2 linked regions of the Mus musculus genome follow. The protein of the gene in region 1 purifies or fractionates together with the protein of each later gene. This does not show direct contact. Links are inferred from orthologs where the notes say so. Each region holds a gene or a part of one and is shown in the gene's direction. Other genes may lie near its edges.

Region 1 (4,599 bases):
TCTAGCTAGCCCTACTTGAGCCCCTGGTCATGTCTAGGATGCCTCCAACCTCAGTCAGTCTCTGCAGCCCGTATGTTTTCCTGAACACCTTCTCTTCGATCCCGTTCTGACCCAGTTCCATCCTCTCCTGCCTATCTCAATACGTGGCTTGACCTGACCAGGCCCTGATCGCTCCTTATTGTCACTATCTGCTGAATGGGGTTGTCGCCAGGATGGAATGGGAACCTAAGTCCAGGAACGCAGGACCGGTTCCCGTTTCCATCACCTCCGGTCCCCACTGGCCAAATAGACATCAGAAAACACTATGTAGGATGGTCCACAAGGACAGAGAAGGAAGAGACTAAAAGACACCGGGAGTCTGTGGCAGCAGAAAAGGTAAAGTTGAGGGACGGAGAGAAACTTGGAGAAACTCCATCTCTGGAGGAGCGTGGAGCCCTGGCCACCCCTGGCTGGCTCCCCGTCTTCTCCACCCCGCTTGGCCAGAGAGCGCCCTTCAGCGGAATTCAGACCTGTCGATACCCTTGAGCAACTTGCCCACGTTCGCTCTCATCTGCTCAAACATCGCCATGATCACTGTTGCCTTCGGCAGCCTCAGCTGGAGTCGAACACCAGGCACGGTGCTTAGCACTAGAGGACCGGAAGAGAGGTGTAGGAAGCGGAACCTGCGTCACACCCTCCCTCCAGCTCCTACAAGGAAGGCAAAGGGAAAGGCGCTTTCAGCACCAGCGCCGGTTGTTTTTTTTTTTTTTTTTTTTTGTCTACCACGTGATTTCCTTCCAGCAGTTGTAACTTGCGCATGCGCAATGAGCTCACTTAAAAGAGACCAATAGCGTGAGAAAAGGTTTAGTCTGCCTTACTACGCAGGCGCCAGGAGGCGGGCTAAGCTTTTCCCGGGCCGCGCAAACTTAGTACTTAAGCTTCTGACGCGCGTGCGCTGGAGTTGTACGGGGAAAGGAGACTTTATTTTCTCTACGCATGCGTAGCCTTAAGCGTTTAGCCCCGTGAAGGGTTGCTGTTTCCTTTTCTTTGAGTTTAGTCGGGTGGGAGATGCTCTCTGAAGCCCTTCTTGTCTCCGACTTGGGTGCCTGAGACAGCATCTTGTATGTATCTTCACTTCCTCGCTGGTCCCCACTCGGTTCCGTACTGCTACAGTGCTGTTAGGAGGCCGGGAAGGCAAAAGACACCTGTAGTCTCCATCGGCTCTGCGTAGGGGCTACTAACAAGTGTTCCACGTCTGCCACAGATTCCCTACACGTTTGAAGCGTTGCACAGACATGTGCCATGCGGGCAGGTGCCCTGAGCTCAGCTGTCACTTAAGTCACATGCATGTGTCACGAGTAAACAGGTCTTCTGTGAAACCTAGCCAGCTTTGTGCAGACCTGCAACCTCTGGCTTGATTCCAGATCTTCAAGAACCCAGCAGAGGTTCAACCGTAACCTATGACTCCTCCCAAAATAGAGTGTTGGGGAGAGGGTGCTAGGTCAGCCCCAGGTTGCATTTAAGAACTTTTGCATCTTATTTACATAGTGTCCTTCAGTGGGTAAAGGGGAGTCCCATGGGTCCCAAGGCGATCAAACTCTCAGAACCCAGGGGACGGGGGTGGAGCCCTCTGTGCAGCCCTCTGCACAGCCCTGCAGCTGGGGCAGGAAGCGAGAGTGGGGAGGGGGAAGGCCACAGCCCACAGAGTCAAGGCGGGCCCAGGACTTGTGTGGAGACAGAAGGTAATACCAAAGCTTGAACCCTGAGGCCCTGTTGGCCCCCTGGGCACTGGCCCAGCCCCGGCCTCCAGGAATGGCCCTTGTGGACCCCGACATTTTTAATAAGGACCCTCGAGAACACTATGATCTACTGCAACGACTGGGTGGTGGAACTTATGGAGAAGTATTCAAGGTGAGAAAGCCCTTCTGTCTCCTCCACCACAACCCTGGGATAGTTGGGGAGAGGCTGGCAAGCAGGAGTGTAAGAGAATGCCAGGCCTTGGCCTTGGTTCAGAGATGCTGAGGATGGCAAGCTATGGAGTCTGCCTGATGACCAACTTCCCCTTTACAAGGCTCGCGACAAGGTGTCTAAGGACCTGGTGGCTTTGAAGATGGTGAAGATGGAGCCTGGTGAGAGCACCCCCAGAAACTTCTTCCCCATCCCCGCCCTTTCCTTCCTGGGATACAGGGACATTTCTGTAAGCCCCCGCTTGTAGCCCACCTTCGCTCTCCGGCCCCTCCCCACAGATGATGACGTCGCCACCCTTCAGAAGGAGATTCTCATGCTGAAAACTTGCCGGCACGCCAACATCGTGGCTTACCATGGCAGTTACCTCTGGTGATGTCTTAGCCCATCCCCCAACCCCAGCCCCTTAACTCTGACCAGGTCTCCACTCCTAAACTACCATTTGTGACCCAGATACCCTAACTTGACTTCCAACCTGAGGACTTTCACTTTTAATTGGGGCATCCCAGTCTGATTCCCAATCTGAAATTCTGCCTTTCTTACTGAGTGCCTGCTAATTTTTAAGGGCTAATCTAGAACCCTCCTCGTTGTTGTAATCAAATCTCTCACTAGTCTGCTCCCTGCATCACCCATTTTTATTCTGCTTCTTTAATTTGAGCTCTCAAATTTCTTGGCTCCCAAGATAATATCTCAGCTGCCTCAATAATGGCATCTTTTCCTCAAACCCGGGATTCTTTGTCTTGTCTGCTTCGCCATGGGTTCTCTGCCCTGTCCCCTAAATTACCTTGGGGTGGCAGTGGGGTGCTCTTGGGTTGGAACCCAAAGACCTAAAAATTGCTCTGGAATACACACTTCCTGGCTATCCTCAGCCTCTGCTGTCATGGGAACAGGACACTGTGTGGTGGGCGGGGGAGTGAGATAGCCCCGGGAGGTCTCACTACCATTGTAATCCCTGCTCTCTTGACGCCCTATAGGCTGCAGAAGCTGTGGATCTGCATGGAATTCTGTGGAGCTGGTTCTCTCCAGGACATCTACCAAGGTTAGAAGGACAAGGGGACAGAGGCCCCCTTCCACCACCAGTCCACCTCTCCTGTCTCTCTCTGTGCTTGTATCCTGGAAGCTGACTTCCCAGTCTACACCATACCATCAGCCCGTGCACTTGGCTGTTGCTGGGGATCCCATGATGGCCCTGCCCTCCAGCACCTGTGGGTCTTGCCTGTCTTTTCCTGGGCAATAATCCCCTTCACTTCCATGTCTCTATCTTTGTCTGGATGTCTATATTTTCTTGCCAAAAATTATTCCTGGGTTGGGGCAGTTTTGCATTTTCTTTTTTTCTTCTTTTTTGAGATGGGCTTCTCACTATCACCCCTGGTGTTGATATTCAAGGCATTTGCTACCATGCCTGGCCTATTTCTGCATTCTCCAACTCAGATTAGTTGTTCAGATTTTCAGGTAGGCAGTCAGTAAATTTCTGGGTCTAGCCTGCAGTCCACCTTTCAGGGAAATTTGAGGGTAGGAGTCCCATAGGCCTGTCATCCCTTCTGAGTCTCTCTCTCTCTCTTTCACACACACACACACACTTTTTTTTTTTTTTTTTTTTTTTTTTTTTTTTTTTTTTTTGCTATAGTGAGTTTTGAACCTAGAGTCTTACGTTTGCTAGGCAACCACTCTGAGCTGTATCCCTAACACCTACCTCTTTTTTTTTTAATTAATGACTTTATTCTTTGAGGGTTTAATTTAAATTAATTTATCTATTCTTTAAGAATTATAGGTAGACAATGTTTTTTTTTTTTTTTTTTTTTTGAGACAGGGTTTCTCTGTATAGCCCTGGCTGTCCTGGGAACTCACTTTGTAGACCAGGCTGGCTTCGAACTCAGAAATCTGCCTGCCTCTGCCTTCCAAGTGCTGGGATTAAAGGTGTGCGCCACCACGCCCAGCTCTGACAATGTATTCTTAACACATCCCTTCAATTTCTCGTAGATGCTCCCCAGCCCTCTTTTTACTTATTATTTTGTGGCAGGCCGGCCTTGAACTTGCAGTCTCTCTGCCTTAGCCTTTTCAGTAGCTAGTCTTCTAGCTACTGAACGGCCCGTCTTCTGCCACCAGGCCCTACACCTCAGCCTTTTCTACAGTTGTGGTGTTCACCTGTCTTACTCTCTCTAACTCCCCCTACCCACGATTTCAAATTGTCTGAAAAGGTCTCCCTTTAGCTCAGTGGTAGAATGCCTGCCTGGTAGGATGGATCCAGGTTCCAGCTTCCATCCGGGCAACACAGAACCTCCCCCAGAACGGGAAACTGAGGCCGATAGGCAGGAAGTGACTCACCCAGTCATTGTGTAAGCCCTGGTCTCTGCCCGACACCCTCTGTCCTATCTTTCTCTTGTCTCTTCACTAACCCCGCTTGTCTTCTAAAATACGTCTATCTCCCTGCATTGGGTCTCTGCTCATCTCTTTCTCTGCCTGACACTGGGTCTGTCTGTCTGCTGCTGCCTGTCTCTGTATCTTCGCCATTGCTCATCTTGCCTGCCCTCACATCACCCCATGCAGAGACTCCCTCGTCTCCCATCGTCCTCCATGAGAAGCTGCCCTTGCTCCTTTTCTCCTGCAGAGCGGGACCCATCACACCCCCGCTTTGGCTTCTTATGGTAGCCTTGC
Region 2 (4,434 bases), on another chromosome or scaffold:
TTCTCTTCTCTTCTCTTCTCTTCTCTTCTCTTCTCTTCTCTTCTCTTCTCTTCTCTTCTCTTCTCTTCTCTTCTCTTCTCTTCTCTTCTCTTCTCTTCTCTTCTCTTCTCTTCTCTTCTCTTCTCTCTCTTCTCTTCTCTTCTCTTCTTTTTTCTTTTCTTTTCTTTTTCTTCTCCTCCTCCTTCTTTTCTTTTTTCTTTTCTTTTTTTTTGAGACAGGGTTTCTCTGTATAGCCCTGGCTGTCCTGGAACTCACTCTGTAGACCAGGCTGGCCTCGAACTCAGAAATCCACCTGTCTCTGCCTCCCAAGTGCTGGGATTAAAGGCACCTGCCACCACTGCCTGGCTTGTACTAGGGTTTCTTTTGCTGTGATGAAATACTATGACCAAAAACAGATTGGGGAGAAAAAGGTTTATTTGGCTTACATTTCCACATATTAGTCCATCTTTGAAGAAAGTAAGAATAGAAACTCAAACAGGGTAGGAACCTGGAGGCAGGAGCTGATGCAGAGATCATAGAAGGTGTTGCTTCCTTATAGAACTCAAGACCACTAGCCCACAGATAGCCCCACCCACTGTGGGCTGACCTTCTCCATCAATCACTAATTAAGAAAACACCCTACAGGTTTGCCTACAGAAGGATCTTAAGGATGCATTTTCTCAATTGTGGCACCCTCCTCTCTGCTGACTCTAATGTCAAGTTGATATAAAATTAATCAGCACAGCTTCTAACATGGAGATGACCCAGACCAGCTCTCAGAGACCTCAATCTGATAGAAGGAACCTGCTCTTTGGGAGTGACGTTCAACCCTTAAGAGTTCCTATTCCAAGGTGTGAGATAGCCAGGCTCTCTGGAAAAGTTAATGTAATAATCTTGTAACAGTATAGCACTCTCAGGTTTACAAAGTAATAAATAAATGTACGCGCCGGCGGTGGGGAATCTTCAGGCTATACAAGCCTGCATGCAATCTCAGTGCTTGGAAGTGAAGGCAGGCAGGCCAGGAACACAAGTTTGTCTTTGCCTTGGATACACGGGGCATGTCTCAACAAAACAAAACAAGCCATCACCTCTGCCGTCAACAGCAACGACAAAACAAACAAACAAAAAAACAGAAAAACTAAGGATTTTCAGACAGTAATGAAAGAGCATTAATCCTAGTGCAAACAGTTTGTAAAACTGTTCTACTCAAACTACAGTTTTGTGCTCTTTTCTTAAACGTCTAGTAGGTTGACCCTTTGGTGAGTGCTTTCTTCCTGAGTCTTAACTGCGGCTTGTAGGAGGAGAAGGCTAACAGTATCACTTGATCAAAACTTCCAGCCCTATTAAGATGTGAGCTCAGAGCTTTCTAGAAAGCTCCCAGGTATCTGGTGACCATAGCAACTCAAGCCAAACTCTGCGGCAGCGAGCCCCGCCCACTGCCTTGGGACCGCGACTGTTGATTTGCTCCTCGGCTTAGCCAATGGCCAGAGAAGCGGGTTGTGTTCCGGGAGCTCAATGGGCACCGATGGGCGGGGAGGCGGGAAGAAAGCCGGGAAGGGCGAACCCGCACGGCCGGGCGGCTCCTGCGTGTTTCCGGCTCCGCTGCGGAAGGCTAGCGAGGGGAGCCGTTGGGCCCGCGCGAACCGTGGGGAGCGCGGGCATCGCAGAACGCGAGTGCGGAGCTCGGGGCGCAGCACGATGGGAGGGGAGCAGGAGGAGGAGCGCTTCGACGGCATGCTGCTGGCCATGGCGCAGCAGCACGAGGGCGGCGTGCAGGAGGTAAACGACGTGGCCCGCGCCGCAGCCCTTCTCCGCGGTCGGCCGAGACCTCCCCCACCCCGGCCGCGCGGGTCCCCGGGTCCCCGCGTCCCAGCTTCCGGTCTGCCCAGCCCGCGAGTGAAGTCTCGCTCCAACGCCGTCAGCGCCCTGCACTTAGCCCCCAAGAGCAGTTTTCGTTGTCCCAGAGTGACCCCAGAGCTTCCGCACCCACTCTGCGCTCCACGGGTGTTTCTGCTTTCATTTTAATGGTTACTGTGTAGAGCATCCCTAATGGTGGTTACTCTTTAGAGCATCTCTGGGCCGACTCTTCTCGATATGATCTGCATCTTACCCAAAGTGGAGCCTGCCTATCAATACTGTGTAGGGTAGTGAGAGCCCGGGGGGGCGGTTAGCACGTGGTCTCTTTATACTTGAAAGTATACTGACTGAGGAAGTGAGCCGGAGACCTGTAGGTTAAGCTCCCTCCTGGTTTATCCTCAGTTACCTCGTCTGTGAGGTGAAGCTTAGGAATATCAGTTCCTGTTGTTTTTTTTTCTTGAGTCAGGGTCTTGCTCTATATCCCTGGCTTACGCAGAACTTGCTATATAGACCAAGTGACTTCCAAATCAGGGTTATTCTTCCTCTGTCTTCAGAGTGCGGGAACTTGGATATGGGCCACCCTGCCTAGCACCTAAGTACTTGTCATTGTCGTGTACCAGACACATAATAAGACTGGGTCCTGGGGATGCAGACACGGAAGAGACTAGGCTTTGCATTTGGGGAATTTGTTGAGGGTTTCTTGCTTTAAAAAATTATTTGGAGCCGGGTGTTGCTTTAATCCCAGCACTCAGGAGCCAGAGGCAGGTGGATCTTTGAATTTGAGGCCAGCCTAGTCTACAGAATGGGTTCTAGTACAGCTTGGGCTACACGGAGAAGCCTTGTCTCAGAAAAAAAACAAAACCAAAGAAATTTATTATTATTATTATTATTATTATTATTATTAGTAGTAGTAGTAGTGTTTGTGACAGGACAGTTTTAAGGGGCCAGTTTATTCCTGCCACCAGTATCTGGGTTTTTAGGGTTGAGTTGCTAGGATTTTGAGGCAGTCAATTTTACCCAGTGATTCATCTTGCTGGTCAGGATAAGATGGTGCGTGACTGGAGTCCTAGCACTGGGGAGGAAGAGGCAGGAAAATTGCTACAAGTTAGAGGTTAGCCTGGTCTGTATAGCAACTTCTAAGCCAATCAGGGATATATAGTAAGACCCACAAATATAATAACCCCCAAATAACCCATAGGTGATGTTAAATGGCCAGACCTAGTTCACACAGTGGGTGTGTAGCAGATGAGCTGGTAGAGGTAGAAAACCCAGATATTACATTCTGTAAGCACCTGAGGGTCAGAGAGTGACAAGTTTACCCAAAGCCAGGCCCCCAAGTCCCCGAGGAGACGGGCTCCTGCCACCCGTCACTGGGGATGGCTTTCCATTCTGTCTTGGTCAGAGTGACCACTGCTGTGATGAAGCAGGAAGAGCAGCTTGATGAGAGGAAAGGCTTTATCTTACTCACAGGTTCACAGAACAGCTCATCATCAAAAGTAGTGGGGGGCCAGAGCTGGAGGCAGGAGCGGATGCAAAGGCCATAGAGGGGCATTGCTTACTGGCTTGCTCCGCCTTTCTAGAACCCAGGACCATCAGCCCAGGGATGGTACCGCCCCCAATAGGCTGGGTTCCATCCATCTCTCCTTAAGAAGCTGCTCTAGAGGCTTGCCCGCAGCCTGATCCAATGGAGGCAGTTTCTTAATTGGAGTTCCCTCCTCTCTGATGACTTTAACTTGTGTCAAGGCACATAAAACTGGTTGCCACACCTTCGAAGTCTTTTTCTCTAGGTGCCTGTGTTAACTGAGGGCTTCTAAACCCTTGAAGCGGGGGAGTCTTGTCTAATCTGCAAATGTGAACCTTGTCTGCGTGTTCCTAAACTGACACAATGTGAAAGTGTTTGGGAGTGAATCCACTTTGTTTCTGTGAACTCAAAGTGTCTAGAGGTAGGGATGGCTGTCTCAGATTCAGAACCTCTCGCTGGGGCTGGGGCAAGTGAGAGTCGTCGTGCTAACTGGGGGCCTGCGCCAGCTTGGGCTTCTCCCCAGGAGTCGACTGAGCATGGGCCTGTCATAAAACACTTGAGCCAAGACACTCTTTCAGTGCTCCCTGCTTGCTGTGGATGTGACGTGACCATCTCCCTAAGCTTTGCTTTTTTTTTTTTTGTTGTTTTTCGAGACTTGGTTTTTTTGTATAGCCCTGGCTGTCCTGGAACTCACTCTGTAGACCAGGCTGGCCTCGAACTCAGAAATCCGCCTCCTCTGCCTCCTGAGTGCTGGGATTAAAGGCGTGTGCCACCACCGCCCGGCTCCCTACGCTTTTGCTCCTTGTCTTTCCCACTGTGATGGGCCAAGCCTGAAACTATAGGTCAAAATAAACCCTTTCCCCTCTTAAGTTGCTTTTCACAGGTCTTGTGGTTTTGGTTGTTGGTTGTATTTTTTGCTTGCTTGTTTTTTTTTTTAATCCCAGCACTCAGGAGGCAGAGGCAGGTGGATTTCTGAGTTCGAGGCCAGCCTGGTCTGCAAAGTGAGTTCCAGGACAGCCCAGAATATACAGAGAAACCCTGTCTCGAAAAACCAAAAAAACAAAAACAAAAAACAA

The links.
Region 2: the proteins of Map4k1 (region 1) and Nudc purify together in Homo sapiens (affinity purification with mass spectrometry; 3 studies listed by BioGRID and IntAct, with this or other methods). This does not show direct contact. The link is inferred for Mus musculus from reciprocal best matches to the Homo sapiens genes MAP4K1 and NUDC.

The regions. Positions count from the first base shown.
Region 1 is NC_000073.6:28,981,165-28,985,763, forward strand, and holds the start of Map4k1 (mitogen-activated protein kinase kinase kinase kinase 1), read left to right. Parts: upstream 1-1,689; 5' UTR 1,690-1,791; coding exon 1,792-1,890; intron 1,891-2,050; coding exon 2,051-2,108; intron 2,109-2,225; coding exon 2,226-2,316; intron 2,317-2,918; coding exon 2,919-2,983; intron 2,984-4,599. Other genes in the region: Eif3k (eukaryotic translation initiation factor 3 subunit K), read right to left, coding at 510-568. UniProt on the Homo sapiens protein: Serine/threonine-protein kinase, which plays a role in the response to environmental stress. Appears to act upstream of the JUN N-terminal pathway.
Region 2 is NC_000070.6:133,543,129-133,547,562, reverse strand, and holds the start of Nudc (nuclear migration protein nudC), read left to right. Parts: upstream 1-1,535; 5' UTR 1,536-1,677; coding exon 1,678-1,758; intron 1,759-4,434. UniProt on the Homo sapiens protein: Plays a role in neurogenesis and neuronal migration. Necessary for correct formation of mitotic spindles and chromosome separation during mitosis. Necessary for cytokinesis and cell proliferation.